3 linked regions of the Elephas maximus indicus genome follow. The protein of the gene in region 1 interacts with the protein of each later gene in a pairwise test. Links are inferred from orthologs where the notes say so. Each region holds a gene or a part of one and is shown in the gene's direction. Other genes may lie near its edges.

Evidence for each region.
Region 2: the proteins of EVL (region 1) and SPTAN1 interact in binary tests that used the Homo sapiens proteins (3 or more experiments, as listed by UniProt). The link is inferred for Elephas maximus indicus from reciprocal best matches to the Homo sapiens genes EVL and SPTAN1.
Region 3: the proteins of EVL (region 1) and TRIM9 interact in binary tests that used the Homo sapiens proteins (3 or more experiments, as listed by UniProt). The two-hybrid records come from large-scale screens. The link is inferred for Elephas maximus indicus from reciprocal best matches to the Homo sapiens genes EVL and TRIM9.

What each region holds. Positions count from the first base shown.
Region 1 is NC_064828.1:113,342,885-113,353,647, reverse strand, and holds the start of EVL (ena/VASP-like protein), read left to right. Parts: upstream 1-5,967; 5' UTR 5,968-6,777; coding exon 6,778-6,800; intron 6,801-10,763. UniProt on the Homo sapiens protein: Ena/VASP proteins are actin-associated proteins involved in a range of processes dependent on cytoskeleton remodeling and cell polarity such as axon guidance and lamellipodial and filopodial dynamics in migrating cells.
Region 2 is NC_064827.1:79,559,403-79,569,754, forward strand, and holds the start of SPTAN1 (spectrin alpha chain, non-erythrocytic 1), read left to right. Parts: upstream 1-5,198; 5' UTR 5,199-5,353; intron 5,354-10,352. UniProt on the Homo sapiens protein: Fodrin, which seems to be involved in secretion, interacts with calmodulin in a calcium-dependent manner and is thus candidate for the calcium-dependent movement of the cytoskeleton at the membrane.
Region 3 is NC_064828.1:63,339,133-63,350,334, reverse strand, and holds the start of TRIM9 (E3 ubiquitin-protein ligase TRIM9), read left to right. Parts: upstream 1-6,228; coding exon 6,229-7,302; intron 7,303-11,202. UniProt on the Homo sapiens protein: E3 ubiquitin-protein ligase which ubiquitinates itself in cooperation with an E2 enzyme UBE2D2/UBC4 and serves as a targeting signal for proteasomal degradation.

The sequences.
Region 1 (10,763 bases):
TCCTTCATTCTAAACTTGTTGTTGTGTGTGGTCAAGTTGTTTCTAAACTTAATAACCCCTAAATCACTCTCTGGTATATTGCTATATTTTTATTCTTGTTCGTGTTCATTTAGTATCTGAGTTTCTTTGTTAGAACTTCACCACTGTGAAATTGAGGGCTTTCTCTGTAGCACCTAAAATGTCTAGCATACAGTAGCCCTTCAAGTATTTGTTGAATGAGTGAAAGGATAATTTCAATAACCTGGCACAGATATTTAGAAAGTGCTTCTTTGATGAGGGATGTTGATGTAGACTGGAATGCAGATATAATTACCAGTAAAGCCTACTTTTTGAGTAGTGGTAGACTGGAGATGTAATTGTGTTTGCTTTATGGTAGACTGCCTCTTTTTGGTAGCTTTTAGTTTAAATTGAATTCTCAACATAGAGGTAAGGTATGGGTTTATTTAAAACTTAAAGTGAAATAGCACTGTAGAAATTCTGTTAAATTATGTAATTTGGGGGAAAGACCTAATTCAGTGTGTAGAGCTCAAATTTAAAATTTCTTATTGATTCAACAGGATTTTTTTTAATTTGGTTTTGTTTTAATTTTTGGAATGGTTATTTCAACTGGAATGAAAGAGCATCCAGTAGATTCAAAAACATTTTCACTGAAGACCTCAGCTGTGCCTAAGAATGTGCTGTACCTTGTGAGGCTTAGAAAGCACTAACAACAACGGTTCTTGCCAGCGGGCTTGCCACAATTCCACACGGGAGAATATGGGGACGATGGCCCAAAGCTGAGGTCCTGGGTGGCTCAACCTGCTGGTGCAAAGGTTCAGCGCTCAGCTGCAAACCAAAGCAGTCTGCACCTAGCCAGTGGCTCCAAAGGAGTAAAGTCGTATCTGCTTCCATAAAGATTACAGCCTAGAAAACCCTCCGAGGCAGTTTTACCCTGTCGTGGGGGTTGCTGTGAGTCCCTGGAGGACATACAGCAGCAGGTGGCCTTAAAGGTCAGTCCTGGGTACTGGCCTTGCGTTGCGCTGGGTTTATCTTGAAGCTGCGTTTGCGTAGCAAGCATGCTGTTGTCACTCCTATCGTATGTGTATTTCTAGGGGTAAGGACTAGTGTCTGATGAAGGTTATGGGGATCTAAACTGCACGCCTCCCCTTGTCAGCCCCTTTAGTCCCTGTCCCCAGTGACTCTTACCTTGCTAGAGCCTAAGACATGTAAGTGGACAGAGGTTACTCAGCACAAGCAATGCGTAAGATTTTTAAGTGGTCATTGACGATCATAGGCATTCCGGGGCCTTAAAGACCGCTCTAGGCTGGTCTGGGTCAGGGTTTTGAAGCATAGGCGCTAATATCAGCTCCCATCTATTGTGGTCAATGTGTGCCAGGCATTTCATCCCCACAGCATCCCCACTGAGTAGGTGCTATCTTTCCCACATTAGGTTGAGGAAACTGAGGCTTAAACTGGTAAGCATTTGCCCAAGGCTCCTCAAGTGGGTAGTAGTAGGGCTGGTTCAGAGCCATACCATTCTATCACTGCTTGTGGAGAGAAGGGAGAAAGCACTGTGGACGGGGGGACAAGGGGATCCAGAAATGGAGGTGGGATGAGTAAGTGTGCCAGGGCTCAGCGAGGAGACAAGCCTGGCCACCAGAAGATTCTGGTTGGCAGCTGTGGAAAACAGACTGAAGCATAGAACAGGTCAGTTTGTGGAGTTGCTGAGTGCCAAGCTGAGGGGCTAGATGTTGTTCTGCAGACAGTGAAATAGACTGGTGGGGTTTGAGACTGGAAGGTGCCAGGGCAGGTGACCGTGTGCAGGAAGGGAGTCAGACTGGGAGGGAGACCAGGTGGAGATGGGCAGGGTCTGCGTTAGAGTGGTAGAAGTGAGACTAGAGAGAAGGGGACTGAAGTAGGCCATGGAGGACCCTGTGGAGTGCTTCTTGTCCCCACTCAGTCCCTGCTCATTTGAAAGATCCTTGGTTGGGCCATGAGAAGAGAAGAGTGCTTTTAGTCATGAATGTGTCTGATCTTCAGGTAGGACTTCTACCATTTCATCTCCACGCAGCCCTACAGTGGATGTGCATAGCTAGAAACATCACGAGCGTTTGAACTCTGGATTCTGCTCACACACGCTCAGGCTTACTGTGCTGCACACGCATCATGGATGAGTTCCTACAACCCAAAAATAGTGGGAGAGGAAAACAGGACACAGAGACTTAAACTCCCAGGTTGTCGGTCTGCACATCAACTGTAACGGGACTCATACCAACAAGCTATAAGTGCCCTTTCTTGGAAAACTGACCATTTTATAAGAAAACAGGAGCCCTGGTAGCACAAGAGGCTAAGAGCTCAGGCTGCTAACCAAAAGGTTGGCAGCTCACATCCACCAGCCGCTCCTTGGAAACCCAATGGAGCAGTTCTACTCTGTCCTGTAGGGTTGCTGTGAGTCAGAGCCAACTTGATCACGGGGGTTGGGGTTTTTTGGTTTGATATGAAAAGACATGTTGCTTGCAAAACTAAGGTACATGCTAAGCTAAGGACACTTGTTTCAAATGTTCCCAGTTGTCAGTGACCTAGGGTCCCTCCACGTTAATGACTGTGCTTTGTTCAGTATCTCCATGTCTGTGTTTTTCTGAGAAGCCTCCGGAAGTGTGCATGTCCAGTACTTGCAGTAGGGGAGTGTTCTGCCAGGTCAGCAGGGGCAAGTCAGGAGGCTTTTATTCTTAGGAATGAGACTGGAAAGAGGAAGTGGACCTAGATTACCCAGGGTGAGCATGCTGGCTTTAGCTCTAGAGCCCCACAGAGTATCAGTGCCGGCGGGACCACTGGAGTCATCTGGGCCAGGTGTTCTCAGGCAGACTCCAGGTTTGTCTCTAGTGGAGAGTGGAAAGGCCTAGCAGCAGGGGCTCTGTGGCTCTGCCGCCCCTTCTTCAAACAGAACCATCCACTGTCATCAGTTTTATGTATTGAGGTTCCAGGTAGCTGCTATCTTAAAACACAAAAGGCTAAGAAGTGAATATCTGGCTGTTCCTTCCTGGTAGAAAGGGAAATTAAGTCCCAGAGTAGGAACCTATTTTGTCTGAGTCCTGAGACATTGAAGATGACCTTGAACGACTTTTTAAATCATTGTGTGGTGATAAAAGTCCTTTATTGGGCCTTATTCTGGAGAGGAGTGGAGCTGTCAGGCATCATGGACCCTCATTTGTGACACCCCGGTTTCTGACCCTTTGGTGTTACCAGTAGTTGAGATGTCAAGGATCTGTCTAGTCTTGGAAGCAGGCTGTTTTCCCATCTGGTCCCAGCCCTGTCTCAACTCTTATTTCTACCCCTTACTTCCTGGGGCAGCTGAGGTACTTTTTCAGCCTTTAGAGGTTTCTTGCCTGGCTGTGAAATTGGGGATTAGACAGAGCCAGCTGGATAAAATAGCCCAAAAGGTTCACAGTATCCCAGCCCCTTCTTGGGTCACAGGCTGCCTAACAGTCTGTTGTAAAGTCTTCTTTTAGAGCCGGCCTGAGACAGATCATTGGTGTTAGGATGCCAGCGGGACACAGGGGTCCTGAGGCACTGCTCTGCTAGAACACCTGTATGACTTTGGGCGACCACTTTGGCCTCTGTGTCCTTATTAGCATATTGGGGAATCTCTAAAATTATGTCTAAATTGCTGCTGGCGTTTGGAGATTTTTCACCATTTCTATCAACTCTCCTCTCTATTAGGACCTTGTGAATTGCCTCAAAAGGTATAACCAGCTCTCCAAGAGGAGGTTCTTGAGTCACTGGTGAAAGACAGGCATGGACTAGAGGTTCTCTGTTCAACTGGGCCTTCCACTACACTGGGCCTGCCTCGTAGGCACTGGCAAGGCCTAAGCAGATGAGAACAGTTCCCAGCAAAGCAGTTACTACCCTGTCCTTGAGTTTGTGAAGTATTGGCAAGGTGATGCCCTGGTATCTTCTTTCCCTCCAGATGCTTATGTCTGGTTGATGTCCAACTGCCCCTTACCCATCCCACCTATGACTATACCCAGGTAAAAACCAAAAAACCAAACCCAGTGCTGTCGAGTCGATTCCGACTCATAGTGACCCTACAGGACAGAGTAGAACTGCCCCATAGAGTTTCCAAGGAGCACCTGGCAGATTAAAACTGCCGACTCTTTGGTTAGCAGCCGTAGCACTTAACCACTACGCCACCAGGGTTTCCATACCTAGATAGTTTACAAATAAAAATATCATATAGTTACGTTTGGTCTGGCCAACTGCTCTTGCTAACTCTTGGGTAATCTCTACTGCTTTTTGTTTTTTAAACCTAGGATTTAGGACTGGGACTAGACATGATGGATGGGTGGATGGATGAGTGGGTGGGTGGATGGGAGTGGATGAATGAGTGGATAGGTGGATGGACGGGTGGGTGAGTGGATGGGCGGATGGATGGATGGATAGATGATCTCCCCTTTCCTGAGAATCACAGCACAGAAATATGTTGCTGCCCCCCAAGATGGAAATGCACTACCAATGAGCAGATGGACACTTCAGTGAGGAAGGGGACCTCACCATAAAGAAGAGCACCCAGAAATCAGGGCTGTTCAGCGAGAGGCTGTCTTGTGAGATAATAAAGACCATGAGGAATGTCTGTGTAGCTTTACTTGCCTGATAAAGAACTTCCAGCCATCTTGTGAGAGAGGTGTGGCCAGTGTAACCCTTATTCCAGTTTCACCTGTGCAGAACCCAGTGCTCAGAGAACTTAAGGAAACTGTCAGCAGTCATGGAGTTTGTAAGTGGCAGACCTGGGACTTACAGCCGGGCTATTTAATGGCTCCGAGTCTCCCATGTTTTCTGTCATATCAGGATTCTGCCAAGAAGCTGCTGTCACTAGACAGTCTCAGGCAGACACCTGTCAGGAATACTGGCGAAGGCATTCCTCCGTCAGCTTAGTCGATGATTGCTATATGGTTTGCGGGACCCCAGGATTCCCCAAAATGTCTCCCTCACTAGCCAGTCTGCCTCCGTTTGCCTTTATGACTTCGTTTCTTTGAGTCAAGCTCCAACGCTAGCTTCTCAGAGAGCAAGCGAGCGAGCTGGGTGGAGAGGGCGTGTTCACCCGGAGCACCTTCATGTGAGTACATGTGCTAGGTCAGGTTTCCCCCGGATAGAAAGCAGGGCAAAAAGAGGCACACTCAGGAAACCTTTTTAAGTAACTCTGCTTTGTCGAGGCCTGCCCAAGGCAGTGGGAATACAGAAATGAATCTCACACAGTCCCTGCCCTGACAGAATTCGTGGATCTGTGGGGGAGGCAGAGAGAGTGCTGTGATCGGTGCAGTTGGACCAGAGAGGAGTGAGAGCGGCTAACTGTCCCTGGGACTCCTCCGGGCCCTGGGCAGGAGCAGGCAAGGGACAGTGGGCAGCATGGGGGAGCGGGGGGAACGTGGAGCAATCTGACCCAGGTGGCCCAGGCACCCAAGAAACGGAGTCCTGGCATATTCTGGGATCTGTGGATGTCTCATGAAGAATTTTAATGGAAGAAAGAGTAGGAGAAATCCGTTTTGACTTCATGGGGGCGCCAAACTAATGCAGGGCTCAAATGGGGCGGGGGATCAAGGCCAAATTTAGGACAACTGCTCAGGCAGAATTTTCAAGAAGGGACGCCAGGAAGAAGACTAGGAAGGAAACTGAGACATTAAGTGAGAAATTTTGAAGATATGAGCTGAGGCAGTTGGGGTGGGGGCGGGCAGGACCGGTTCAGAGGAGCCTTTCTGAGACAGAATTGGAGTTAGTGACTGGTTATATTTGTAGTGTGAGAGAGAGAAAAAAGAGACAAGATGACTCACGGGTTTTTATTTGAGATTTGTCTCCCTTGTTTTATAAAGATTTGCAGCCCAAGTGCTGGAGAATCTCCGCAGTGGCAGGTTTCGGAATACCTCCTCAGCCCACTGCCAGATCTGGCCAGCTTGGGCTTCACAAACTGATAAACATTGCTCTCTTTTTTGGCTGACATCTCAGTTCCTTCTTCTTAACTTCTGTTCTGAAATTATTACAGCAATTACTGCACTTCAAGGAACTGTTAAGAGCCCGGTACACATTCGACACTCAGTAAATGAATAATCAAATAAAGGAGACACTAGCTCTGAGTGACAGCCAAGGTCATGTTATTCATGGTAAAAGTGGGGGCGTAAAATGTGACTTTTGTGATCCTGAAGCATCTTAGGCGTTTGTGCAAAACAATGTTTGGTAGAGGGACGGTAAGGTGCCGAATTTTAAAGACTCTCGCCGTGAGCTGCCTTTCCATGTGGTGCAGCCCAGGTTTCACTGTGTACCGTTTGTGCTTACGATGTTGGTCATGCCTGATCATTACAGCAGCCGCCACGGGAAGATGAGGTAATGAGGTCGACCACAATGGAACAGGTTGCCTCCTCGTTTCTTTAAGCTGCAGAATTCTGGTGGGGGGAGGTGGGATATCTTACCTGATTTAACCAGGATCCCGGCATGCCCAGGTCTGGCCGATTTCCCTGGACTAATCCAGCTCCCAGCCTGGAGTCTAGGCATACACTGCATTCATCAGACTTGCTGGAATGATCACATGGTTTTCTAGCTGCCTCCCCTGTTAGCTGCCGCTTGTCAGCAGCTGGCGGAGCTGGAGGCTGCAGGCCCCTGTCTGCAGAAAACCTTCTACTTCAGAATATTGGGGGGTGTGGGAGCCCGCCTCTTTTTTCCGGCACTTCACCCCATCACACTGACTAAATGGTTGTCCTCCGTACCAACAAGGCTGCCAGACAACCCGAGGAAGCTGTCTCTGACTAGGTCATGTTTGCATTTGAAGAATTCAGGTACGTTCTGGGGTTTCTACATCAGTGTGCTGCTGGGTTTTTGTTCTCACTGGGGTTTTGCTGTGTAATGATGGACAGCTTAGGCTCTGGTTGGTTCTCACAAAAAAGGGGTTTTCTCTTCGGCATTTGGTGGGGTGATCCTGATTGTGGGAGGTGTAGAGGTGGGCCAGGTCAGGGATGCTTACAGCATGCAAAAGTGCAGCATGGATAACTGGTTTTATCCTGTGCAGATTTGCCAAGACCCCACCTTGTGCCTCATGGAGCTGCTGTTTCGGGTGTGGAGTTACGAATACAGAATAGTAACTGTTTATCCAGAATGAGTCTCTCGCTATCTTTTGTGTTTCTTCCTTTGTCAAGCTCACGGAGTCTGTTGCCCCTTGTAAAAACGCCCATTGTAACAGTGAAGGTGAAATGTTCCGTAAGTCTGTCTGCAGAGTTGAGATGTGCTTTTGGCTCTGATTTTCCCCGTTATTTTTAACAACAATCTAGCGGCTGGGTGGTTTTCTGGGACGTGCCCTGATGATGTTTTGTTAACAGGGTCCTTTGCTGTTGCAGGTCTTTCAGCTGCTCTAACTATTAATGCCCCAAATTAGAGCCTTTGTGAATCTCACCCCTCCCGTCTCTTTCTTCTCTTCTGCTGGAGTCCGTCCCTGGGTGTGAACGTGGGAAGGGATGTTCCAGCAGAGATAGTTTCTAAGAAATGAAAATAGAGGAGGCGGGATAGGAGGGCGATCAGATCATCCCTGTTCACGTCTCCATCTCTTTGGAGCGTATGCACCTGCGTCTGCTTCCGACCTCTGGCAGCTTCTCGCTTTTCAAATAGAATTTCTGTACCTTTTAGAACTGAGCAGAAATACCATATTGATGGGCAAAGAGTGATCGTGCAGGAACCTCGGTTCCACCTCTCCGGGCCCTCTTTGTTCCCTCCAAATGCTGCTGCGGTAAGACATGGCGATGATAATAGAATAACCACCATTTATTATTTGTAAGAGGAAACTGGAGCCCTTTTAATCGATCGGGGCAGTAGATGAGCGGACGGTTTGGTTTTCTAAAGTAGGGCTGTAAAGGTTGTCCCGCCCTTTTCTGTAAACTTGGTGCTCCGGGCCCAGGAAGTTACCCTTGTCTCAGAGTAAGCCTCTGCATTATTTCCAGCAGACTGGGATTGTGAAAAGGAAATGCTTTCCATGTGGCACCATGGTCCAGTGACGTGGGGCCTGTGCCCTTACATAGGATCATTCCATTAGATAATTAACAATAATTTATTTCCTGCCTGCCATGCTACAGTGGCTAGGCTCTTGGGGAGTGAATCAAGAGTCCTGGGTTCTAATCCCAATTTCAGAAGTAGCTTTTCTGATCCTTGAGTGAGTTATGGAAGAGTTTTGTAAATGTTGGAAGTGGTAGCGATTGTGAGGTTCATATTTCATTGTTAGCATTTATTTCCAGACAGAGTAAGCTGTAGCTACCTCCTTAAAGACAGCTTGGAACCTTTAATTTCATAGTTGGGGAAGAGGGCATATGTATTAACAAACCCATTCCTATTGTGGCGGGGTCCTCGCCTGAGAGCCAAGAGTGGGCCTGAGGGACTGGAGAGGGTAGAGTTAGAGGCCACTGAACAGGTGAATTGAGAAAGAGAGGCCATGGTTGTGGAAACTAGACTCAGAAGGGGAGGTCTGTTCCATCCCCAGCTGTAGGCCTCTGCTTAAGTTGGCCCTAAGTAACTTTGCTGAGTATGCTTATATTTTGTGACTGCAGCATGGTACCAGACAAGTGGTTTCTTCTTTAGTCGTGAGGTTTGTATGCATGGGGCCAGGTGATCAAGGTGGGAAACATAGGGGCTGTGTAGGAGCTCAGCTTGTTAGCTTCAGTCACAGTGGTTCTCAAGTGTTAGCATGTGTCACAGTCCCCTGGGAGGCTTGCTAAAAGTCATGTGGCTGGGCTCTACTCCTGGACTTTCTGATTCAGTAGGTCTGGGGTAGAGCCTGAGAATCTGCATTTCTTTTTTTTAATTTTTATTGTGCTTTAAGTAAAAGTTTACAAATCAAGTCAGTCACTCACACAAAAACTTATATACACCTTGCTACATACTCCCCCTAATGAGACAGCCTGCCCCCTCCTTCCACTCTCTCTTTTCATGTCCATTTCGCCAGATTCTAACCCCCTCCACCCACTCATCTCCCTCCCGGGAGGAGATGCCAACATAGCCTCAAGTGTCCACCTGATCCAAGAAGCTCACTCCTCCCCAGCATCCCTCTCCAACCCATTGTCCAATCCAATCCATGTCTGAAGTGTCGGCTTTGGGAATGGTTCCTGTTCTGGGCCAACAGAAGGTCTGGGGGCCATGACCACCGGGGTTCTTCTAGTCTCAATCAGACCATTAAGTCTGGTCTTTTTACGAGAATTTGGGGTCTGCATCCCACTGCTCTCCTACTCCCTCAGGGGTTCTCTGTTGTGTTCCCTGTCAGGGCAGTCATTGGTTGTAGCCGGGCACCATCTAGTTCTTCTGGTCTCAGGCTGATGTAGTCTCTGGTTTATATGGCCCTTTCTGTCTCTTGGGCTCGTAATTACCTTGTATCCTTGGTGTTCTTCATTCTCCTTTGATCCAGGTGGGCTGAGACCAATTGATGCATCTCAGATGGACGCTTGCTAGCGTTTAAGACCCCAGACGCCTCTCTCCAAGGTGGGATGCAGAATGTTTTCTTAATAGATATTATTATGCCAATTGACTTAGATGTCCCCTGAAACCATGGTCCCCAAACCCCTGCCCCTGCTACGCTGGACTTCGAAGCATTCAGTTTATTCCGGAAACTTCTTTGCTTTTGGTTTAGTCCAGTTGTGCTGACCTCACCTGTATTGTGTGTTATCTTTCCTGTCACCTAAAGTAGTTCTTAACTACTATCTAATTAGTGAATACCTCTCTCCCACCCTGCCTCCCTCCCCCCTCTCATAACCATCAAAGAATATTTTCTTCTCTGTTTAAACTATTTCTTGAGTTCTTATACTAGTGGTCTTAAACAATATTTGTCCTTTGCAACTGACTAATTTCACTCAGCATAATGTCTTCCACATTCCTCCATGTTATGAAATGTTTCACAGATTCATCACTGTTCTTTATCAATGCGTAGTATTCCACTGTGTGAATATACCATAATTTATTAATCCATTCATCCGTTGATGGGCACCTTGGTTGCTTCCATCTTTTTGCTATTGTAAACAGTGCTGCAGTGAACATGGATGTGCATATATGTTTGTGTAAAGGCTCTTATTTCTCCAGGATATATTCCAAGGAGTGGGATTGCTGGATCTTATGGTAGTTCTATTTCTAGCTTTTTAAGGAAGCGCCAAATCGATTTCCAGAGTGATTATACCATTTGACATTCCCACCAGCAGTGTATGAGTGTTCCATTCTCTCCACAGCCTCTCCAATATTTATTGTTTTGTGTTTTTTGGATTAATGCCAGCCTTGTTGGAGTGAGATGAAATCTCATTGTAGTTTTGATCTGCATTTCTCTAATGCCTAATGATCGTGAGCATTTCCTCATGTATCTGTTAGCTACCTGAATGTCTTCTTCAGTGAAGTGCCTGTTCATATCTTCTGCCCATTTTTTAATTGGGTTATTTGTCTTTTTGCAATTGAGTTTTTGTAGTATCATGTAGATTTTAGAGATCAGGGGCTGATCAGAAATGTCATAGCTAAAAACTTTTTCCCAGTTTGTAGGTAGTCTTTTTACTCTTTTGGTGAAGTCTTTGGATGAGCATAGGTGTTTGAATTTTAGAAGCTCCCAGTTATCTAGTTTTTCTTCTGCATTCTTAATAATGTTTTGTATACTCTTTATGCCATGTATTAGGGCTCCTTACGTTGTCTCTATTTTTTCTTCCATGATCTTTATCATTTTAGGTTTTATATTTAGGTCTTTGATCCATTTTGAGTTAGTTTTTGTGCATGGAGTGAGGTATGGGTCTTGT
Region 2 (10,352 bases), on another chromosome or scaffold:
AATATCCTTTCTCTAGACATATTTAACAGTCTTGTACGTGTCATTCGATGCTTGGTATTCCTCATGAATCTCAACAGTAAACCAAGAAAGGAGAGCATTGGGGAGGCCAGTTTTTTTGATACTGACAGTGTCACCCTCACAGATAATGATTTCTAGCGGATAGATGTAACTCCTGATGGGTAGTAGCATCAGATCATTTAAAGTAGAATACTAAGGATGGCATTTAGTTTTTAACTCTAGTACTCGTCTGCTTGCTTCCTTTTGAGCTTGACCTCATTTCTTGGGCTGAGTACCCATATTTTTGTCATATCGTTGTCCTGTATCATCTTAAGGTAAATTTGATGATGAACTGAAAATTCCAGTAGGACAGAAATTCTGCACATCCCTTGTAAAGAAGAATTGAATTGTTCTTCTGGGGATTTCCTACCCAGGCCCTGGGAGCCTGCCCCTACTTCTCAAGCTTTCTATAATGATGATAGCAGTGACATAATTAGGTTTGGATGTCTTATCTCAGTGCCAGGAGAGCCAAAACAGAGCCACAGAACTTCTTAGAGGTACCTTGTCAGAACTGGTCATTCACTTCTCTTTTCTCCGTTTTGTAAATCCCTGGTGTGAGATTTTCTGTGGACCTGCAGAAAGGAGATGAAAGTTGTGGGCCTCCACCTCTGATTAATTTACAAAAACACCCACTATACAGGGACTTATCCTCTAGTTTACAACCAGGCTCCGTTTTATTTTTTTATATCAGTTTACACAGATTTATGTTTTCAAGAAACTATTTTTTTTAACTCCTTCAGGATGTTTATACTAAATGCAATTCATGGTCCTGGGTTGGAACCTGGACCAGAAAAAAAAATTTTTTTTGTTTGTTTTTGCTGTGAAGAACCTTGGGATAATATGCAAAACTTGCATATGGTCTATATATTGGATAATAGTATTATGTAAACATTAATTTCCTGATTTTGATAATTGTAATGAGGCTATGAAAATAAATGTTCTTAGGAACTGTACATTGAAGTGCTTAGGAATAAATGGACATAACTGTAACATAGTCTCAGACGGTTCATGGGGAAACATACGTCAAACGCATACATATATACATACATAGAATGACAAAGCAAACAGTCAAATGTTAACAGTTGGGGAACCTGGGTGAAGGGTATATGGAAATTCTTTCTACTGTTCATGTAACTTCTATGTAAATTAAAAATTATTTCAAAATTAAAAGATACTCCTTTTCCTTCCCACCCCCCCAAAAAAGATTTTTACTTTTCAGAAAAAGTTCTGATGAGATAACAAAATCAAGCTCTAGAACCTACAACCCTGAAAGCAGGACCCTGGTGGCTACAGAAGGAGCCTAGCGGGTGCAGTGGTAAGCTCTTGGCTGCGAACCGAAAGGTTGGCAGTTTAAACCCACCAGCCGCTCCATGGGAAAAAGATGTAGCAGTCTGCTTCCGTAAAGATTTACAGCATTGGAAACCCTATGGGGCAGTTCTGCTGAGTCCTGTGAGGTTGCTATGAATCAGAATTGACTCCACAGCAATGGGTTTTTGGTGGCTAATATTACCTTGAAGCTATCAACCTATAGCAGGGATGGAAAGTTGACTCTAAAGATGCTTTGCAAAATACTTCCTACTTAAAGGGAAATAGGTGACATGGAGGGTAGAATTTCAATTCAATGGGGAATGTAATTTAAGTACTTAGAATACTTGGCTGTTTGAGCAAAACGCTATGGGAACACAGTAGATAGATGCATTTTCAACTAGGGTAACTTTTCCCAGAGTGTTTTTCTGCAGGATCCTAGAAAAGGGTTCTGTAGTCAAATAATTTTGGAAACACTGTTTTAAAAGTAAACTGGGTTCAGTCACTGCCCTGGAGCTGTACTTCTCAAACCTAAGTGTGCATCAGAATCACAGCACAGATTGCTGCCCTTCCTGCCTCCCTGAGCTTCTGATTCTGTGGGTCTGAGGTGGGCCTGAGAACTTGCTAATGCTGCAATTTAGGGCCATACTTTGAGAACCGCTGCCTTTAGAGAGGAACTAGGTGAGCTGATGGATATGAAACACTGACACGGTGCCTAGCGCAAAGGAAGCCCTCAATGAATGTTGGTTACTCTTAGCTCACTGCTCTGCTTCCAGGGAGTTACCCTGGCGCCCATCTGATCCCAGCTTTAGACAGCTCTGCCACCTACTATTTGTTCCCCAGAAATGAATCTCTTAACCTTTTTTGCCAGCCTGGCAAGGCCATATCCCCAGCTGCTGCCAGGCATCTTTTTTTTCCATCAGCTTCTATACTAGTGTGGTCCCTACTTTCAGGAGCAGTCATTGTATTTTAAAGATCTGTGGTATTTCTTGTCAGCGCTGACACTGCAAAATGTCACCTAGGAAGAAGTACAGTCCATCTGCCAGCCCAAGACCTTTGCCGTGTGTGTGCGTGAGAGAGACTTGGAAAGATACTGGAACTACCTAGATGCTTAAGTTTAGGGTGCATATCAAACCTTCAGAGGACTGCTGGAGCTTAGAAAGGAGCTTAGAATTCAGTCCTAACCCACTGCCATCAAGTCGATTCCGACTCACAGCAACCCTGTAGGACAGAGTAGAATTGCTCTATAGGGTTCCCAAGGCTCTAAGTCTTCACGGAAGCAGACTGTCACATTTTTTTCTCCCACAAATTCAGTCCTAGCCCCTGCTTTTCAGGGAGCCAGGAGAGATGCGACTGAGAACATGGACTCAATTGATTACAGAGCTGCTACACTGTCCTGTACTTTTTTTGTTGTGTGCGGGTGTGCTTTTTTCAATGAGTTTCTCTCAGAAAACAAAGAAGGTCATTATCTGCTTTATCCTCTCCCTGTCCCCACACCTAGCAGAATGTTTGGCATATGGTAAAATTGGTGGGAGATGAGATAGGCAGATAATGGAACACATGAAGAATTGCTTTTTAAACATCTGATTTCCAGTGCCAAATGCAGAACAGGGTGGGTTAGGAAGTGGGAGGTAGGGAGGGCTGGGGATACTGTTTCTTGGCCATGTCTCAGATCGGACAAAGGATCAACAAATATGATCTCAGTTTCTGTATCAATATACACGCCCTCTCTAAGGTCTCCAATCTGTTTTGCATCTGGCAAAGCAGCAAAACCCCATTTCACAATGGGGCCAGGGGATTTAAAAGAAAAATCCTCCCTTTTTATAGCTTTTGCCCACAGTCCTGAGACCTGTTCTTTGCTGGAGCGGAGGGTCTTGGGAATTTTGGAGAACGGCAATGCGTTAGCCATTTTGTACCCAGAGTTGAATATTTGATTAAACATTTTGCTACCGGCTGGAAAAGAGGCAATTCAAGCACTCACGCCCATCAGCTGTTCCCAGTAATACACACCCCAGGGAGGAGTTACTTGGCCCTGTTTTCTCTACATAGAAGATTGCAGGAAATGCCTCTCAGAGCCTACGTTTTTCCTCCACATTCTGTAGAGCTGTTTCTGGGGTGTGGCCACGCCTTTTCCCTCCACTCTGATGGAATGAGAGAATGGGGGACTTTTTCCTTGCTATCATGGCTACAGCCAGGACAGCTTAGAAGCCAGACTGCAGATCCCAGGCACAGGGGAAGAAGCCAAACTGCAGAGGAGCAGGAAGTCCAGGCTGGGCCTGGGCCCAAGTTTTGGTGCACTGCCCCGTGCCTTTATATTTATTTAAAGAGGAGGACTGCTTGGTAACCAGGCAGCTGAGACCTTCTGGGTCTGCCTTGACTGCACAGGAATGATCTGGGTGTTAGACCCAATGGCTGTGACCCAGCTGTCACTGGAATGGGGGTGGGGAAAGGGTTTCCTAGTTACGGAGTTTAGAGCCAGGCCCTTAAACTGCTAGACTGTAAAAAAAAAAAAGACTGTAAGGGACAGAAATTCCAGGAATCCTCTTATTTTTGTCTTCTCAGCACTCAGGCATCCACCTGCATCACAATGCCTCCCTTTCCTATGAAAACGCAATATAGCATACTGTTTAAGAGAGCAGGTTCTGACTGCTTGGATTCAAATCCTAGCTTTTCTGCCTGCTGCCTACCTCACTTGGGCAAGAGACCTAGCCTCTGTATCAGGGTGCTTGTTTGTAAAATGGGGAAATAATATCTACTTCATACAATTATTGTAAAGATGAATGCAAAAAAGGTCATAGACACAAAGTGCTTAGAATCGTGCCTGGTATATACGCTAGGCTATTAGTGGAAACGTCGAACCCACCCAGAGGCGCCTTGAAGACAGGCCAGGCTTCGGCTTCCGAAAACCCCATGGAGCAATTCTACCCTGCACACATGGGGTCGCCGTGAGTCGGAATCAACAACATATTAGGAAGGTTCAATCGATTCTGGCAGAAAGAATCTTAGTGTCTTGTTTATAAAATAAGAGGAGTGCACCCTACTTCACTGATGACCTGAGAGAAAGCTTTTGCTGTTAAGGCTATTAAAAACCTATTTAGTGCTTCAAATCCCAGAATAACAGGCTTACACCCTAGTCACCTAAGTAGCTGACTTTATTTTTTTATTATCTGTATTTGGCCTTTTCCCCTTACCATCTCTTCCTCAAACCCAGAGCCCAACATCATCTCGGTTTCTTTTTTTTTTTCATCTCGGTTTCTTGATCCCAGCCCCCATCAGGGTAGGGCTGGGGGAAGAGCGGATAGATTTGGGTCCCCAGCACCAGCCCTGTCCTAGGGAAACTGGGCAGGAAAAGAAGCATATAGGTGATGTCACCCTTTGGGACTCGGCGTTCTTCCGGCCGGGGTGCATCTTCCCTAGCCAGACTGCAACGATGGCCCCTGCCCCGCCCTTCGCTGCAGTGCTGGAAGGGCTCCCAGGGGCGGAGGGGTGCGGTGCAGAAGATTCTCTGCAGTGTGGGGAGGGACAGGATTGGAGGATCTTTGCTGCGGGAAGGGAGGTGCGGCTCAAGCATCTGAGCCCAAGAGGGCGGAGGCAGTGACTACACTGCACCGTCATCCCCCACCCCCTGCGCACGCCCTACTTCCCCATTCGCTCGCTTCCCTCCCCTCCTCCCCGACATCGCTGCTTCGGCTCCTTCCGGGAGCACTCGGCCCTTTCCGCCAGGCGAAAGCGAGGCGAGACTGCGGGAGCTCCGCCCCCTTTGCTCCGCAGGCGCTCTCCCCCGCCCATCGCGCCGCGCCTAGGCGCTTTCCCCCGCGCTCGTGCCCGCCCGCCGCCGGAACGCGCTTGGCCGCCTATAAAAGAGGCAGGGCGCGCGCGCCGCCACTACCCGCTGCGGAGCGAACGGCGAGGGAAGGAGGCCGCGGAGGCACGTTGATCCCTCGCTGCCCCTCAGCCCGACGCACATACTCCTCTCACCCCCCAGGAGCTGGTGAGAAGGGTGCGGGGAGCTCAGAGCGGGAGCGAGGCCCGAGGGCAGCCGACCCCGAGTTGGAGAGGCGGGCCACAGGGAAGGGGCGAGTGGGGCCACCCCTGGGGCGGGGCCGGCGCGCGGACAGGTGAGCCGGGCGGGTCTTGCAGCTGCCTCCAGTTGGACGAGGTCGTGAGCAGCCGGGCGAGCCGGCCGCGACCGGCTTTGTGGCGCGTGGGCTGCAGGGGAGCCGCCTAGCAGAGCCCTGGGCGCCGGCGGTTGGAATGTCATTGACTGTGGCGCGGGGGAGGGGTCCAAAGCTGCTGGATCCCTCCCCACCCCCTCGGCCCGGCCTGGCTGCAGCCCCGCCCTGCCCCATCCGGCTGCGGCAGGTGGGGTGGGGACTCCCGCTTCAGGATCTGCACCATCCCCCCGCTCCTTGCAGAGCGCTCCTCGCCGCCCCCGATCCCTTCTGTCGGTGGGGAGCAACTCCTGCAGCCCATTTTTTCTAAATCACCGCAGGACTGAGGTCCAGCAGCCTTGCCGGTGCAACCCTTGGGGAAGAAGAGCCCAAAGCATAGAGTAAAGGGCTCTTTGACCCTGATTTCATCCTGTGTGGCGATTCTTGGCTCTCTCTCCAGACGCAGAGAACCCCGAGACTTGCCGTCTCGTTTTCTTTCCTTGTAATAAACATTTCTTTCCTCCCCAATTGTGACTTGCGTGTAAATAATAGGTAGATGCGGCGCTTGCTTTGTATGAGACCTGCATCAAATAATAGCTTTTTTTTTTTTTGAGAACGGCTCTTTTTGAGTCGACTGTAGTATATATTATTTGTCAAAAATTTTACAGCCATGCCGTGTTGAATGATAGAGAGCAGTCTTTTGTTTGAAAGATGTCCCTGCGAATTTGATTAGATGCTTCCCGAAGAAAATGGCTCTTAAAGGTCTCTTTAGTGTGTTGGAATAAAATCTATTTTCAATAAGGGGCTTTGTATTAAAGTTTGATTATATTTTAAGTGAAAGCCTGAATAGTCCAGAAAACTGGGCTGTGATGATGTTTGAATTGCTACAACACCTTGTCAGATCTCTTTTATATAATAAATCCTGAAATATATAGGCCCTTTGTGCTGTCTTCATCATGGTATTTTAGAAAAGGTTACAATTATGATGGTGAGAGAAGGATAGAAGAGAGACCATATGAAGTATTTTCATCATGTGTTGAGAAATTGCGTTGTCATAGCAATTGGACTAAAGTAAAACAGAATGTATCAAAGATGGAAGGATGGGGGTGTCTTGCAGCCAGGGAACAGAAAACCTTAAGAATAACTGTGGGAACACTCAGCCGTATGAAACTATTAAGCCAAAATTCCAGCTCCTTAAACCAGTCATTTATTTTCTGTTTCATTGCAGTTAATGACTTAGATTTTGAGAGGTCACATTGAAGTCAGAGTTAAAAAATGTGCTGCAGTAAAAGTGGCTCTGTGCAGGAAATTAACAATAATCCTTTTTTAGTAACTGGGCCAATAATTACTCAAAGGGACCCTCGAAGTATGTTAGCTGTTATCCAGGGACCGAGATGGAGAGAATCAAAACGAGATTTGCTCTGTACTGGACAGGTGTGAAGCAGTTCTTTTCGGTAAACTGTCAGTTTAGGAACTAATTCTCGGATATGCTTTTGTCTTCTTGGCAGTGTGTTTTGTAGCAATTCAATAATTGGAGAAATCTGGTATGTCACAGGCTCTAACCTGAGCTTGTCAAGCAATCTGATGAACAGGTTTAGGTGGGGAGAGCTGTTTTACGCGTATCTTTTGGTTCCCTGGCTAGAATTTTCTCTGTTTTTCCTACCTGCCTTCATCCCAAAGGGGCGGGGGGCCAACTGCAGATCCAGAGAAGTGGATCTCAGGAACAATCTGCCACAGCCCTGTCATTGCTGAACCTGACCTTGTAATCAATCCTCTGTGGGCTATGCGAGGACTCCGCTAGTTGTGCACTCCTGTCTGCTGCAGCCTATCAGCTGTGGCTAGCCAAGTACAGTAGAAGAATGCAAGGCCCTGATGACAAATGCTGACTTCAGGAATGCTGAGGAGGAACGCGTAGCTGATCACCTGGGCCATTTGACTGGAGCAGCTGTGCTGGTGAACCATTACCTCCCTTCCACCTTTTTTGCATATTCCTCTTGTACAAGTTTCGAACAGGAAATACTATTTTGGAAAGAAAGTTTGCCAGCAAAGTAGGCCCCAGTCAGATCTTTGTAGCCTGAATTCTTTCTTGTTTCTGATGGCTTCATGGAATCATGCTGTTTTGTTACTGAATGGAAGGGAGTTTGGGAATCATCTGGTCCTGGGATTCTCGGTTAATTTATCAGAGTGCTGTTTAGGGGGCGGGCACGTTTAGTTTTAAAAAGTATATTCAGTATTACAACTTTATTTGACAAGTAGCGAAACTGAGGTACAAAAGGGAGATGTGACTTGGCCGAGGCAGCATGCCTAGATAGATAGTAACCACTAAGATCAGAGAACCTTAGTTCTCTTTCCATATTTTAAGTCCCTGGTGGCATTTAGAAACTGTATAGAATGTCAAAGAGACGCGGGATGGGAAAATATCTGAAAATGGATTTTTACGTGAATTCATGTATTTTTAAAGATCTACTTTATTCATTTTGAAATTACTTTGTCCAGTTTGCCCTTAGAAGCTTGTTGTCTTGCTCTTCCCCCTCCCTCTTTAGACTCCACATTCCTCCATCATGTTGTCATCGTTTCGTAAACGCAGAGTCCAGGTATTTGCCCAGCATGCAGGAAATGTGTTGCCTTTTCGGTTTTGCCTGGCTTGCTGTGAAGACACGTTTGTGTCAAAGAGGTCGAATGATCCAAAGAGAGGGGGAAAAAAACCCTGTCTGCATGACCTTCTATTAAGCAGATTGGTTAGGGGTTTCCCCCCTCCCTCTTTTTTTTTTTTTTTTTGGTTTACGTGATCAGAGGTCTTAGTAAATGTACTCTGAAATTTCCAAAGCCTCCCGTTTTTTACCTTCCTCTCTTTAAGGCATGAACATATTAATTTCTTCCCACCCTACTGGCGTTTGCATGTAGTGTTGCTGATTTTTTTGATGGTTACTTGGTTCTTAAGAACCAAGAGACTAAACAGATTATCCCAGAAATTTGGGGGAAAAAAATCTGGAAACATGTAGTAAAAATGCTATTTTAAAAAGTTTGACAAATATTGTAAACTTGGGTTTTTTTCCTGGTCCCATTGTTTTATTTCTTCTGCTACAACCCCTGTAATAAAATGGAGCTTGCATTTTCTTATTAAAAACAAAAACCATATGTGTGTGTTTTATTGGTGTACAGTTTTTTGAGTGTTTGCTAAATTGGACCTTTTTCAAAAAGAAAAAAATCCTTAAAATTAATATGTTGATCTCATGAGAAAAATAAGCTTTGCAAATTTCTAGTGATTATAGGTGATAAATCAAAGACAGGCCTTTTTATAAACCAGACGGGTTAATTATTTAAATGAGGTTTATAAAAATTGGCCATGTTACACCCGTTTCGTGTTTTGAATCACAGTAACAATATGATGCACTTAAATACCTCTCATCTGAATTTTACAGGTTAAAAGGTAAGTAGCAGCAAGATAGTATTTGGGAAGCATTCGGAAGTAAGTTTTCTCAACGTTGCTCTGCATTTCTGGATTTTGATGGAATGCAGTATGGATCTTTTGCTTTCTTAGAGCTAAGTCCCTGCTCACCCCTGCAGAATTGTGCTAACGAGTTGAAATGAATTAATCAATTTGAAGGCTGAAATGTGACTCCACAATCCTGATTGGAATGTGATTTGAGCAAAAACATTTGTTTCTATTCATGGCATTAAAAGTCTTAATTTATGTATAATTTACCTCTGTGCTTATCAAATCTGCCACTAAAATCTGCAACTAAGCTGGTTTTGAGTTAATTTGTTTGATTTGAGAGTCAGTTGGTATAAAATTTTATGGGTGCTAACCAATTCTTGGGTGGTTTGTTCTGATGGGGGAGCCCTTCGACGTTCGTGGATGTAGTTCTCTTGCTTTGCAAATCTAGTGGTAACAGGCTGGCTTTCTAAGCCATGGTAAAATAGCATTTGTTGGTTCTGCACATTTGGGCTCTGACTAAGCAACAAAAACAAGACCGATAAATGGCTTCTGTGACCTTTTGCTTTGGGTGATGATCACGAATTTTTCCATAGAGCCAGAGGATCCGTTCGTCCTTTCTTTCCAAAGCAGTTTATCTGGTGTCCTCCCTGAAGATTGAAATTCGTATGATACTTAGTGTTCCAAATGCCTTTTACATCCCAGCATATTCCCCTTGCTGAAAGAATGGCAGTCCCAATGCTTTTGTTTTTAATAGACTTCTTCCATCTTCACTACATTTTTTTTTTCTTGGGTTCCATAGAGAAACTGTAATTGCTGATTTCTTCCGCTGTCCAAGATCTGTTTGAGGGAGTCCTAAACAACTCACTTTAGATGCCAAGTTTGCAGAGTCCAAAGCATTTGACCTTTGGTTTGAAAATGTATCTGTAGTCTTTTGTATTGCTTAACGCTGTATAATTCCCACCACTGCCCTCCCCCCCAAAGATAGAGACATCCCCTTACATAATGGGGCATATAGCTTCTGTAGATTAGATTATGGCATTACAAAATTTCCTAAGCATAAGAACTGCCTCAAACAGTTGTCTTTTGGCATTTATCAAGAAGACAGAGATATTAATTAATGTCTAGTCTCTTTAGGGAAACCCCAGTGATGCAGTGGTTAAGTGGTACGGCTGCTAACCAAAACTAACCAAGCAGTTCGAATCCACCAGGCGCTCCTCGGAAACTCTATGGGGCAGTTCTGCTCTGTCCCTGTACAGTCCACTGTAAGTCGTAATCGACTCGACAGCAGTAGGTTTTCAGTCTCTTTAGAAGGAATCCATTTTCAGTTGATAACGTTTATAAATTTATGCTGGATATAAGGAGTCATTCTTAGGCATGCTAAAACTTTGGATTAAACTAGA
Region 3 (11,202 bases), about 50 Mb from region 1:
TGATTCCTGGCCTGTGTGTGCTCTGAGAATAGTTTATATGGTAACTTCAGTACTTGTTCTTTTCACCGAAGTTGCTATCGCCTAGCCTTGTAGAGGTTCACCCAATACATGCACAGATTGTGTCCAGTCAAAGATCCAAGGAGACTCCCATCCAGATACCTGGAACTCATTCTCTGTCTAGCTTTTTCCTCTCTGAAAATTCTAGTCTCCTTGGTCTTCCAAGGAATCTTGGTGGTGCAGTGGTTAAGAGTTTGGCTGCTAACCAAGATGCTGGCAGTTCAAATCCACCAGCCCCTCCTTGGAAACCTATGGGGCAGTTCTACTCTGTCCTACAGGGTCGATATTAGTTGGAATCAACTCGATCGTAACAGGTTTTTTTTTTTTTTTTTTGAGTTTTGGCCTTCCAAAATCCAATCTCTGTGTCTTCAACTGAGGGAGATTGTTAAGGTTTGTTTGGATTTCTCCTCCCTGTACCACAATCTGGAAATTGCCATGTGGTAGAAAGCCTGGCTGAAGGAAGGGTTCACATCTTTCTTTGCCTTCTCTCAAAAATTATAATCCTATGCTGCCTATTACCCAGTGTCTGGACACCAACTGTTTCCTATAGCTTGTCCTGTTTTCTTGTCATTAATGGAAGGATTACTCCCATATAACCAGAAGAAGGAGTTCTCTTCCTTTAATTTTTTTATGTTTTAAATTGTGTTAATAATTTTCATGATAGTCATACTTGCATTCCAGATAAAATCCCTACTTGGTCATAGTTCATTACTTTTTTTATGTATTACCAAAATCCATTTGCTAATAACCTATTTAGCACTTATATATCTATTACTTTGGTGTTTCTGGTTTCTAGTTTTCAATTTATTTTGTTTTCTATTAATTATATCAGGTTTTGTTATTCAAGTTATGACAGCTTTATAAAAATTGGGGAACATTTTATATTTTTCTTGAATTTAGAATTATTTCAATAACATTGAAATTACTTGTTTTTAAAAGATTAGCTAGAGCCAATCTGTGCAGACATCTAATTTGGATGCCTTTTTAAATGATAAATCTGAAACTACCTTTCAAATCCCTTTATGGAAGTTGGTCTAATGTATATTTTTTTAGGAGGGATTAATTTAATTAACATATTTTTTCCTAGGAACTATCCATTTCCTCTTGCTTTTCAAATTTGTTATCATAGAGTTTCATATAGTATTTTCCCAATGTTTGCTGATTTTCAGGTCTTATTGTACTTTTGGAACCCTGGTAGCACAGTGGTTAAAGCACTCAGCTGCTAACCAGAAGGTCAGTGGTTGGAGCCTACCAGCTTCTCCATGGGAGAAAGATGTGGCAGCCTGCTTCCATAAAGATTTACAGCGTTGGAAACCCTGTGGTGTAGTTCTACTCTGTCCTATAGGGTCGCTATGAGTCAGAATCGACTCGACAGCACTGAGTTCGATTGTTTGTTTTGTTCTGTTTTTTTCTAGTTTATTGTATTTTCAATTATATTAATAGTTATGCTTCTTTTCCCAGGCCTCAACCATACATATATTTATTTACCATTATGTGGGGAAAAAAAGAGGACACTAAGTAATTCCTCCAACAAAGACACTTGATTTCTCACCTTTTCCTCTTCTATTTCTCCTCAATAATATCAGGTCCTTAGAATACTTTTACTTCCCCACTGCCTCCTCATCCAACCTAAAGACTTAGCTAAGGTTCATTTGTTACTTAGTTTAAAATCTTTTCTCAAGTACTTTTCTCAGATGGAATATGTGAGTGCTATGTTCTCTGAATTCTTGGAAATATCTTTCTTTGACCTGAAAAGCCAGTGATCTCCTGGTTGGCTATAAAGTACTTAGGATACCTTCTCTTATTTTTAACAGGCTGTAGTTGTTTTGTTTTGTTTTTCTCACATTCTTCTTGCCTTTAAGTCACAGAAAGAAAACATGTCAATATGATTTTTTTCTTTATGTTTCATTGTCTGGGAGCTTATAAGATTCTCTTTTCCTTTCTTTTTCCCTTGGAGTTCAAGAATTGTATCTGCATATGCTGGGTCTCTTTTCACCAATGTCATCTGTAATTCTAAAAGCCTTTCAATCTGCAATCTCGTATCTTTCCTTGGTTTAGGATAATTATTTCTTCAGTTATGGTTTTTCCTCCACCAGTGCCTATTCCTAGTTCTGGGATACCTATTATTCACAAGTGTTGTCTCCCGGACTTATCCTTCAACTCTCTTATCTTAATACAGGATTCACAAACCTCCATCTTCCCAGATTCTTTTGCCTGTCCTTCCCAAAATATTAGGAACATATTACTTATGGATAGAAATACAACAGAATTTGATTAAGGTCATTTTCCAGTAGTACTAAATGGGCAAAAGGCTCTTACTTTAATAATTGAATAATTAAAAAGACAAAAGAATATTAACCCCAAAGAAATATATAGTTATTACGGATGGTATGGAAACCCTGGTGGTGTGGTGGTTAAGTGCGACGGCTGCTAACCAGAAGGTGGGCACTTCCAATCCACCAGGCGCTCCTTGGAAACTCTATGGGGCAATTCCACTCTGTCCTACAGGGCCACTATGAGTTGAAATCAACTCGACGGCAGTGGTTTTTTTTTAAGAATAGTACAAAATATTACAAGTAGAAAATTTAGTATTAATGGAGTAAGTTACTCTGTAAAAAGAATTCTTATCATAATTTCTTTTGAAATATAAACATCGCATCCATCACTTTGCAAATAATGCAATTTTTACAAACCACAGCCAGCAATACCCTTAATCACTAAGTAAATACAAAATATTTTTTCCTACATGTCAGAGGATCTTCAAGTGTCAAAGCATATGGACAGCTGCTGTCACTGATTTTTTCCCCTAAAACTAAGGATAGATGGCTCTAGGGGAAAATGTGGAGAGAAGGGGAGAACCCTTTCTTCTGTGAGTGGTCATTTCTTTAGAATAAAGAAATCGTGTGTTAATAATCAAGCACTGTAGTCATAAGCAAATAGGAAAGCAACTAATTTTTCACTGGAAAGCAATTTGTCTTTAAAGAATGGAAAAGCAGTTAGTGCATTTTAAATTTCCTCAACCGATTGCCAAGAAACATCATTTGGGTGAATAGTTCAGTAAGTTTCAGGGGATGATTAAGCACTTTACACAAAAGAGAACATCTGTAGCCATCCCAGGAATGACGAAATTACAGGGCTATCAATCCTCCTGCTTCAGGGTATGGGCTGTTCACCAGCTGGAAGGGGAAAGACATTCACCCAATGGTATAGTATTTCTGTAATATCATCAATTACATGCAGATTTTTATTCCCCTTCAAACACAATTCATGGTGGGGGGGGGATTTAAAGTACGTTATGAGCAAGTAGTACACATAAGAGGAAAATCTTTAAAGAAATGAATATGAGAGAAATAATCAACTCTCAGGAAAAGAAGGCAGTATAGCCGGGAGGTTAACGAAGACATTTTGGGATATTTATCACATAGAGCCTGAGACAGTGTAGAATTCCGCATTTGTTGAATGAGTGAGCAAATGAATAAATGAACAAAGGAACAAACTCACAAGTGCCTGGGTCCAAATCCCAGACTCACCAATATTTGACCTTGGGTATTTTACTCATCTGTAGAGATAACTGTGCCACCTTCTTATGTTATTACTAGGTAATAAAAAAAAAAAAAAAGGTAATACATGTACATAAACAAACCCACTACCTGGAACAAGGTAAGTGCTCGACAAATGATAGTCATTTTAACAGCTCTCCTGGGACTGGTTTAATTTCTCTAATTCCTGACCAAATAGACCTAACAAATCATCTGCAGATACTTCATAATAGAGCAAATCTTTGTATATTGACTTTAGTCTATTAAGGCTCTTTGCGAAACCGACAGTGCTGTTAAGTCTCAGATAGTCCCTAATGCTAGCCTTTACTTTCAACGAAGCATTGTTTTCTACCAATAAACAGACCTCTTAGATCACATACTGTTGTGAGCAAAGTTCAAAGGCATAGAAAGAGTAAGAGCTGCTTACCCTGAGTTGTTCAAAGCACAAGTCAAAGGCTACTGTGGCTTTGGGCTAAATTAACACAGCAGTCATGGAAAGGATCATAAATGAGTGGCACTGACACTCCTTTCTAAGTTTTTCAATAATTAACTACTTGTTATTAACAAATTATCTTGGGGCCCACAAATTAGATGTATTCTGCAAGTTCAGGTATCTCAACCACACTTGAAAAATTTCTATGCCTGCAAACAGGGTACATACCCCTTTTTGATGCTCCAGGCTCAACTAGTTAAAAGCCAGGTTAAAAATACATTGCATAGCATTTGTGATTAAGATGGCTTTAACAATGAGGCCTTTCCACAAACCCAAGGATCATTAAAGGCTGCTTTCATTTCAACTGAAGAAGGTGCTGGAAAGAGAACCTGGTTTATTGGACTAGTTCTCCAAGGGCAAAGTTATAAAAAAATCGATTTTTTCCTGAACAATAAACTGGTTCAAAATTATAAATGTAACCATGAATAATCAAGTTATCTCTCTTCTGGAAGATTAGAAATTGGAAGACTGCTTAAAACTTGGAAAGAGTTTTTGTCATTTACTTCATGAATCAGTTAAGGCAGCCATGTACTATTACAAATAAGTTGCTACCTCAGAATGTTACTTGTCTAGAAAACCTTTGTGAGGCACCTTCCCTGATCAAATCAACAGTTCTGCAGACTAGGGGCAGGACCAGGTATCTTCAGCCATGTGTAGGGAGGGGGTACTTAATATACAGGGACGAGCACTAGAGCCCCCTTTCCCCATCACTACCATCAGCATCACCACATACCTCACTGGAGGGAACAGAAAGAAACCACCACGCCGGAGGCTGTGGTCAATGCTCAGGAGGCGTGCCATTTAATACTGGCGTTTGGATTCAAATACTGAGACTCTGCAGTGACAGAGTGACTCATCTATAGATTTATTACTAAACTAAGGTCACTCAGAAACAGACCCACCACTCCTGTCTCAGCTGAACGAAAGCCCTGCTGGCCTCGTGGAAGCTCAGTGAGGAGCTGAGGAGAGCTGATAAAGAAACAGCACTGGGAGGCAGGGGAGTGAAGAGGGGCTAGAGGCACATCCACACCACAGCGTAGAGGCCTTTGGGCCAGTGCGAATTTAAAGCGTAAAATAAAGAGGGTATAAATTTTGACTCATATATTGAGCCTTTACATTGACTGGGGCCCTGGTGGTGCAGCGTCTAAGGCGCTTGGCTGCTAACCGGAAGGTCGGTAGCCACTCCACGGAAGAACTATGCGGCAGTCGCCTTCCATAGAGATTTACAGCCTTGGAAACGCTATGGGGGCAGTTCCCTCTGTCCTGTAAGGTCGCTATGAGTCGGAGTCGACTTAATGGCAATGGGTTTTACATAGATTAACCAAAAAAAAAAAAAAAAAAAAAAACCCACTGCCGTCGAGTCGATTTCGACTCATAGCGACCCTAGAGAACAGAGAACTGCCCCATAGAGTTTCCGAGGAGCGCCTGGCGGATTGAACTGCTTACCTCTTGGTTTGCAGCCATAGCACTTAAGCCACTACGCCACCAGGGTTTCCTTACATAGATTACCTGGTTTAAATCTCACCGCAACACTAGGAAATCCCCTTTTAGAGACGAAGGACTGGGGTTCGGAAAAGCCAAGGGACTCTCTTCCCGGGGCTCATGCCCATCGCCATCAGACTCCGGGGATGTGGGAGCTCCAGCGGCCAGCTTCCGGGGGGTTAGGGAGGGGGAGAGACGCCCAGCAGCCGCTCAGAAACCTAGGCCTGGGTGAGGGGCCTGCTAACGCCGCCAGCAGGGGAAGCAGGAGGGGGGCCGCCGGCGGTGCGCAGCACTGCCCAGAGAAGGTGGGTCGGCGCAGAGACCGTAGCTGGAAGCCAAACGCAAACTGTTGGCAAGAAGCACCCGCTCCCTCAGCCAGCCCACTCGCTACTGGGAGGGGTTTCTCACGCCCCCTGCTCCTGGGTGACTGCACCGGAGGTCGGAAGCAAGCGGGGCGAAGGATGAGTCATCCCGCCTAATTCCTCCTTCTCGGTCCCCTCGCCTCCGCAAGCCAGCCCCCTCCCGAGCTCACGCTGCTGGGAGCAAAGACTCCCCTGACGTTCAGACTCCTCCACTAAACCCCCGGGGGCCTGCGGAGGGGATGGGACGGACGGAGCACGTGGCCAATGAGAACTTCTCTCTGTCACCCGCCGTCCAATGGACCCCTGTTTCGAGGTTGGGGCGGGACTAGGAGGGCAGAAGAAGGCGTTCCGGGGCTGGCGCGCGGCGCGGCGGCTCCTGGGCTCGCAGAGCAAGTGCTTAGCTGGGAGTCCGCGCCAAGGCGACGCGGGAAGGCGCCACCACTCCCGCTGCAGCTGCCGCCGCCGCTGGCCAAGGTGCTGGACGCGACGGGCCCGCTGGCCACCTCGCCAGTTCAGGCACCACTGCAACGCTCCAAACCCGGTCCCCATGGAAGAGATGGAAGAAGAGTTAAAATGCCCTGTATGCGGCTCCTTCTACCGGGAGCCCATCATTTTGCCCTGCTCTCACAATTTATGTCAGGCGTGCGCCCGCAACATCCTGGTACAGACCCCGGAGTCTGAGTCCCCCCAGAGCCGTCGGGCCTCGGGCTCCGGGGTTTCCGACTATGACTATCTGGACCTGGACAAGATGAGCCTGTACAGCGAGGCGGACAGCGGCTATGGCTCCTACGGGGGTTTCGCCAGCGCCCCCACTACCCCATGCCAGAGGTCCCCCAATGGCGTCCGCGTGTTCCCCCCGGCTATGCCGCCACCAGCCACCCACCTGTCACCGGCTCTGGCCCCGGTGCCCCGCAACTCCTGTATCACCTGCCCCCAGTGCCACCGCAGCCTCATCCTGGATGACCGGGGGCTCCGCGGCTTCCCCAAGAATCGCGTCCTGGAAGGGGTGATTGACCGCTACCAACAGAGCAAAGCTGCGGCCCTCAAGTGCCAGCTCTGCGAGAAGGCGCCCAAGGAGGCCACCGTCATGTGCGAACAGTGCGATGTCTTCTACTGCGATCCGTGCCGCCTGCGCTGCCACCCGCCCCGGGGGCCCCTGGCCAAGCACCGTCTGGTACCCCCGGCCCAGGGCCGCGTGAGCCGGCGGCTGAGCCCGCGCAAGGTTTCCACCTGTACAGACCACGAGCTGGAAAACCACAGCATGTACTGCGTGCAGTGCAAGATGCCCGTTTGCTACCAGTGCTTGGAGGAGGGTAAACACTCCAGTCACGAAGTCAAGGCTCTGGGGGCCATGTGGAAACTGCACAAGGTGAGTCCTAAGAAAAACCACCCCTAACTCCCCGCGCCTCCGACCCTCTGATTTTGCAGTAGACGGTCTACCTTTTTTGCTCACAGTGCATCCCAGTGGGGGTGCAATGAACGGGCCTCGGATGTCTGCCTCCCCCGTCTGGTGCATTGCAGGAAGCGCGGCGGTGCTTTAACGGCGCTCAGGGGAGTTGAATGTCCCCAGATAGTTGTTGCGGGGATGCCCTGAAGCAAGGCTCCTGGGGTGCGCTACTCGCGAGCTGGGCCCAGGGCGCCCCCTTTCCGCGGCGGACCTGCAGCCTCTGGCTGTGGACGGGGTGCGGAAAAGCTCTGCATAGCTAGGGACAGGCGTGTCAACGCCCAGGGACACCCGGCACGCTCGAGGGCAGGACCTGCTGCTGGGCTCTAGCCTCCGCCTGGGGTGAAGGGGAGGAGCAGAGGTGTTGGGGTCTCGCTGATGGCGGGGTTGACAGGGGCTGTGACTCACGGCGGGGCTGGGGGAGTCTCCGGCAGCGGAATACTGATGAGCCCGCGCTGGCCCAGGCCCGGCCTCCCAGCTTGAGAAGACGCCGGGTCCCCGTGCCTCGCGGTCAGGAGGCGGAGCCAGGGATTGAGAAGGGGGGGGGTTGGCCTGTGGTCGCCAAGGCAACACGGCAGGCGGTGGCTCTGACCCTCCAAGTGGAGATGTGGGACAAGAGTGGTTAAGACTAGAGGTTTCTGCACAATCTTGGCCCGAAAGCTAAGCAGCTACGCCTCCCAGGGTAACCCCCTCCAGCAACCACCCCCAAATACCCATTGCTCCAGAATTCGACTCTTTTCCTCTTTCAGTAGTTGCATGTACAAAGTCTGTGACACCTGCTATCAGATTTATCCCGCTGGTCTCTTTTGACAGAGCCTCCATCAAGGCTAGTGTCCAGAAGAGTGCTTTTAACAACCTGTTAGAAAGGTCATGCCATCCTCTAATCGAAATCCTCCAGAGGTTCCCCACGTTTCTCAGTCGTCCTTAGAATGGTCTACCAGGACCTGCATGACGTACACCTCCTTTAACCTCTCCGACCTCATTTCCTCCCACGCAGTGCAACCACACTGCTTTTGCTGTTTCTCAACCTCAGCCAGGCACCTTCCCGCCCCATGGTCTTTGCATTTGCTCTTCCCTCAGCCTGAGATGCTCTTCCCCAAAACCCTATATCCAAATGGCTCACTCTCACCTCCTTCAATCTCTGCTCAGATATCACCTTCGCAGTGAGATCTTCCTGACCACAATTGCTGCCACCCACCTCAGACACCCCCTAATTCCCTCCTTGCTTTGTCTCCATAGTACTTACCCTTTCCGGCATGCTATATATGTTAATTATTATCTTACTTTTGTATTGTCTCATGCTTTCCCCCTTCCCCTCCAACTAGAAAATCAGCTTTGTGAGGAAAGAGTTCTTTATAATGTTTTGCTCACCGCTGCTTAGAAGAAAGGAAACCATCCTTGAGGAGATTTGCCTAAATCTGACTTTTACTTTTTAAGCAATCCATTTAGTTGGGGGTGAGGAGGGCAGAGCAGGGGGTTTAAGATTATTGGAGGGAGATTTCCGTCACCTCGCTGCAAGCCCAAGGACGTGCAAGCCCAAGGATGAGGCAGGGCAGTGAAGGTGCTTCCAGGCCTCCACTGTGGCCCTGTGCTCAGAGGTCTCCCACATTCCTGGGAAATGAAGAAAGCCTGGCCTTGGAACAGGGGCCCTGAGGTTGAGGCTGGAACACTGATGTTTTATTTACAACAAGAAAAATAAAATATCGCCATTTTCAGCAAGCAGTGGAGGTTTTCTCAACTGCTGATCCCAACTGAATGGGACCTGTGTTTCCAGTCATTTGTATTCTTACATACAACCTATTAAACCATATTAGTACTGATGGAAATTTTATTCAGTACAAATCAAGCCCCACTAGGCACTTGCCACTTTTTAAAAAACACTTTGATTTAAGTAAAAAACAAGAAAGACATAATTAATTTTGAAAGTTTTTAAAACTTTAGTTTACAGCCAATTTTTTCCTCATATTAAGATTTCAACTCTTAAATTGCTATCTATAGTCAATGTTGAATTGCTCCAGAAATGTATCCTTGGAACTGAGAAATTAATTGCCTTGTCTGGAAAAAGAAGTTAGAGCCACAGGCTAATTAGGATGGTGGAGTCAGAGCATTATTTTTCTGTGGAGAGGAGCCTATACTTTATTCATTAAGACTAAAAGGAACCTTTATCTCTGTCAAGCCCAGTATACATTTGCAACGTTAAACCATTCGTTTTATCAGTAATGGAAGTTGTAAGTAGACAATATGGTGCTGACTGGGTTGAAATTTGAATGTCTGCTAAAAAAGGAATTATGTTATAAACATTAGGACAGAAAATAAGTAGGCAAGGAAGAGAGTTGATTTGGGGTGGCTCATGGGGGAAAGAAAAAAAAGACCATTTCTTCTCTGTCTCATACGTTTTTTTCTAAAATACGAAGTTGGTGTAATGTTTGTTCACGTCTATATTGGGAGCATTAAACTGCCAAGAATAAATAAGGCAGAAGAATGACAGATTTTTAACATTCACTTCTCATCTTTTGGAAACCCTGGTGGCATAGTGGTTAAGAGCCACGGCTGCTGGCCAAAAGGTCGCCAGTTCAGATCCACCAGGCACTCCTTGGAAACCCTGTGGGGCAGTTCTGCTCTGTCCTGTAGGGTCACTATGAGTTGGAATCAAATCAACGGCAATGGGTTTGTCATCTTTTAGATAAGCAAAAAACATTACTTTTATATTTTATCTCCTTAACAAGATAATTAATCTGTTAATGTACAATTTTCTCATGTAGTCTGTTTTAGTTAATGATAACTCTCTCTCCACAAAAGCTCATGGGCCAGAATTCCTATGTCTTTCAGAACATAGGAGAGCAAAGAATTTCACTAAGTAGCTCTTCCAAAGTTAGGAAGTTATTTATGGATACAAGTTATTACTAGACCTGAAAGTGTCCATTAATATTCTATCATATTAATAAATCATTTCTACTGATAAAGAAAATCCTGTGAATAAATGTTTCCCTCAGGCACTAACTCACATCTTCCACATTCAAGGAAATTGGCTAAAGTTTATTTTTTAAGTTGTTTTATAAACAACTGGTTGAAATTCATTATTGTCAATTGACCAAATTAAAATATTTTTCAGATATTTATGGTTCTGATCTTCAAAATACATGTAAAATAATAATGCACAAAGTGGCCTTGTAAATATCTAGTAATAGTTTTTATTTAGTGTTAAAACCAAACCCACTGCCATTCAGTTGATCCCAACTCCTAGCGACCCTGTAGGACAGAGTAGAACTGCGCCATTGGGTCTCCAAGGCTAACCTTTACGGAAGCTGACTGCCACATCCTTCTCATGCAGAGCGACTGTTGGTTCCAATGTGCTTTAACCACTGCTCCATCAGGGCTCCTAATTTAGCATTCACACTTGCTATATCCCTTTATCCAACTTAGGTTTGTATAAAGCATTGATACACAAAAATGATTTTTAGACTTAAAAATAGGTAATTAGAACCACTATTAGGAGACCTGGTTGCACAATGGTAAAGTGCTCAGCTACTAACCAAGAATTTGGTGGTTTGAACCCACCAGTGGCTCCTGGGAGAAAGACCTGGAGATTTACGCTTGTAAAGATTCAAAAAAAAAAAAAAAAAAAACGAAACCCCCTGCTGTCAAGTCGATTCCGACTCATAGTGGCTTTATAGGACAGAGTAGAAGTGCCCGATGGAGTTTCCAGGGAGTGCCTGGCAGATTTGAACTGCTAACCTCTTGGTTAGCAGCCATAGCACTTAACCACCAGGCCACCAGGGTTTTCCCCATAAAGATTACAGCCTAGGAAACCCTATGGTGCTGGTC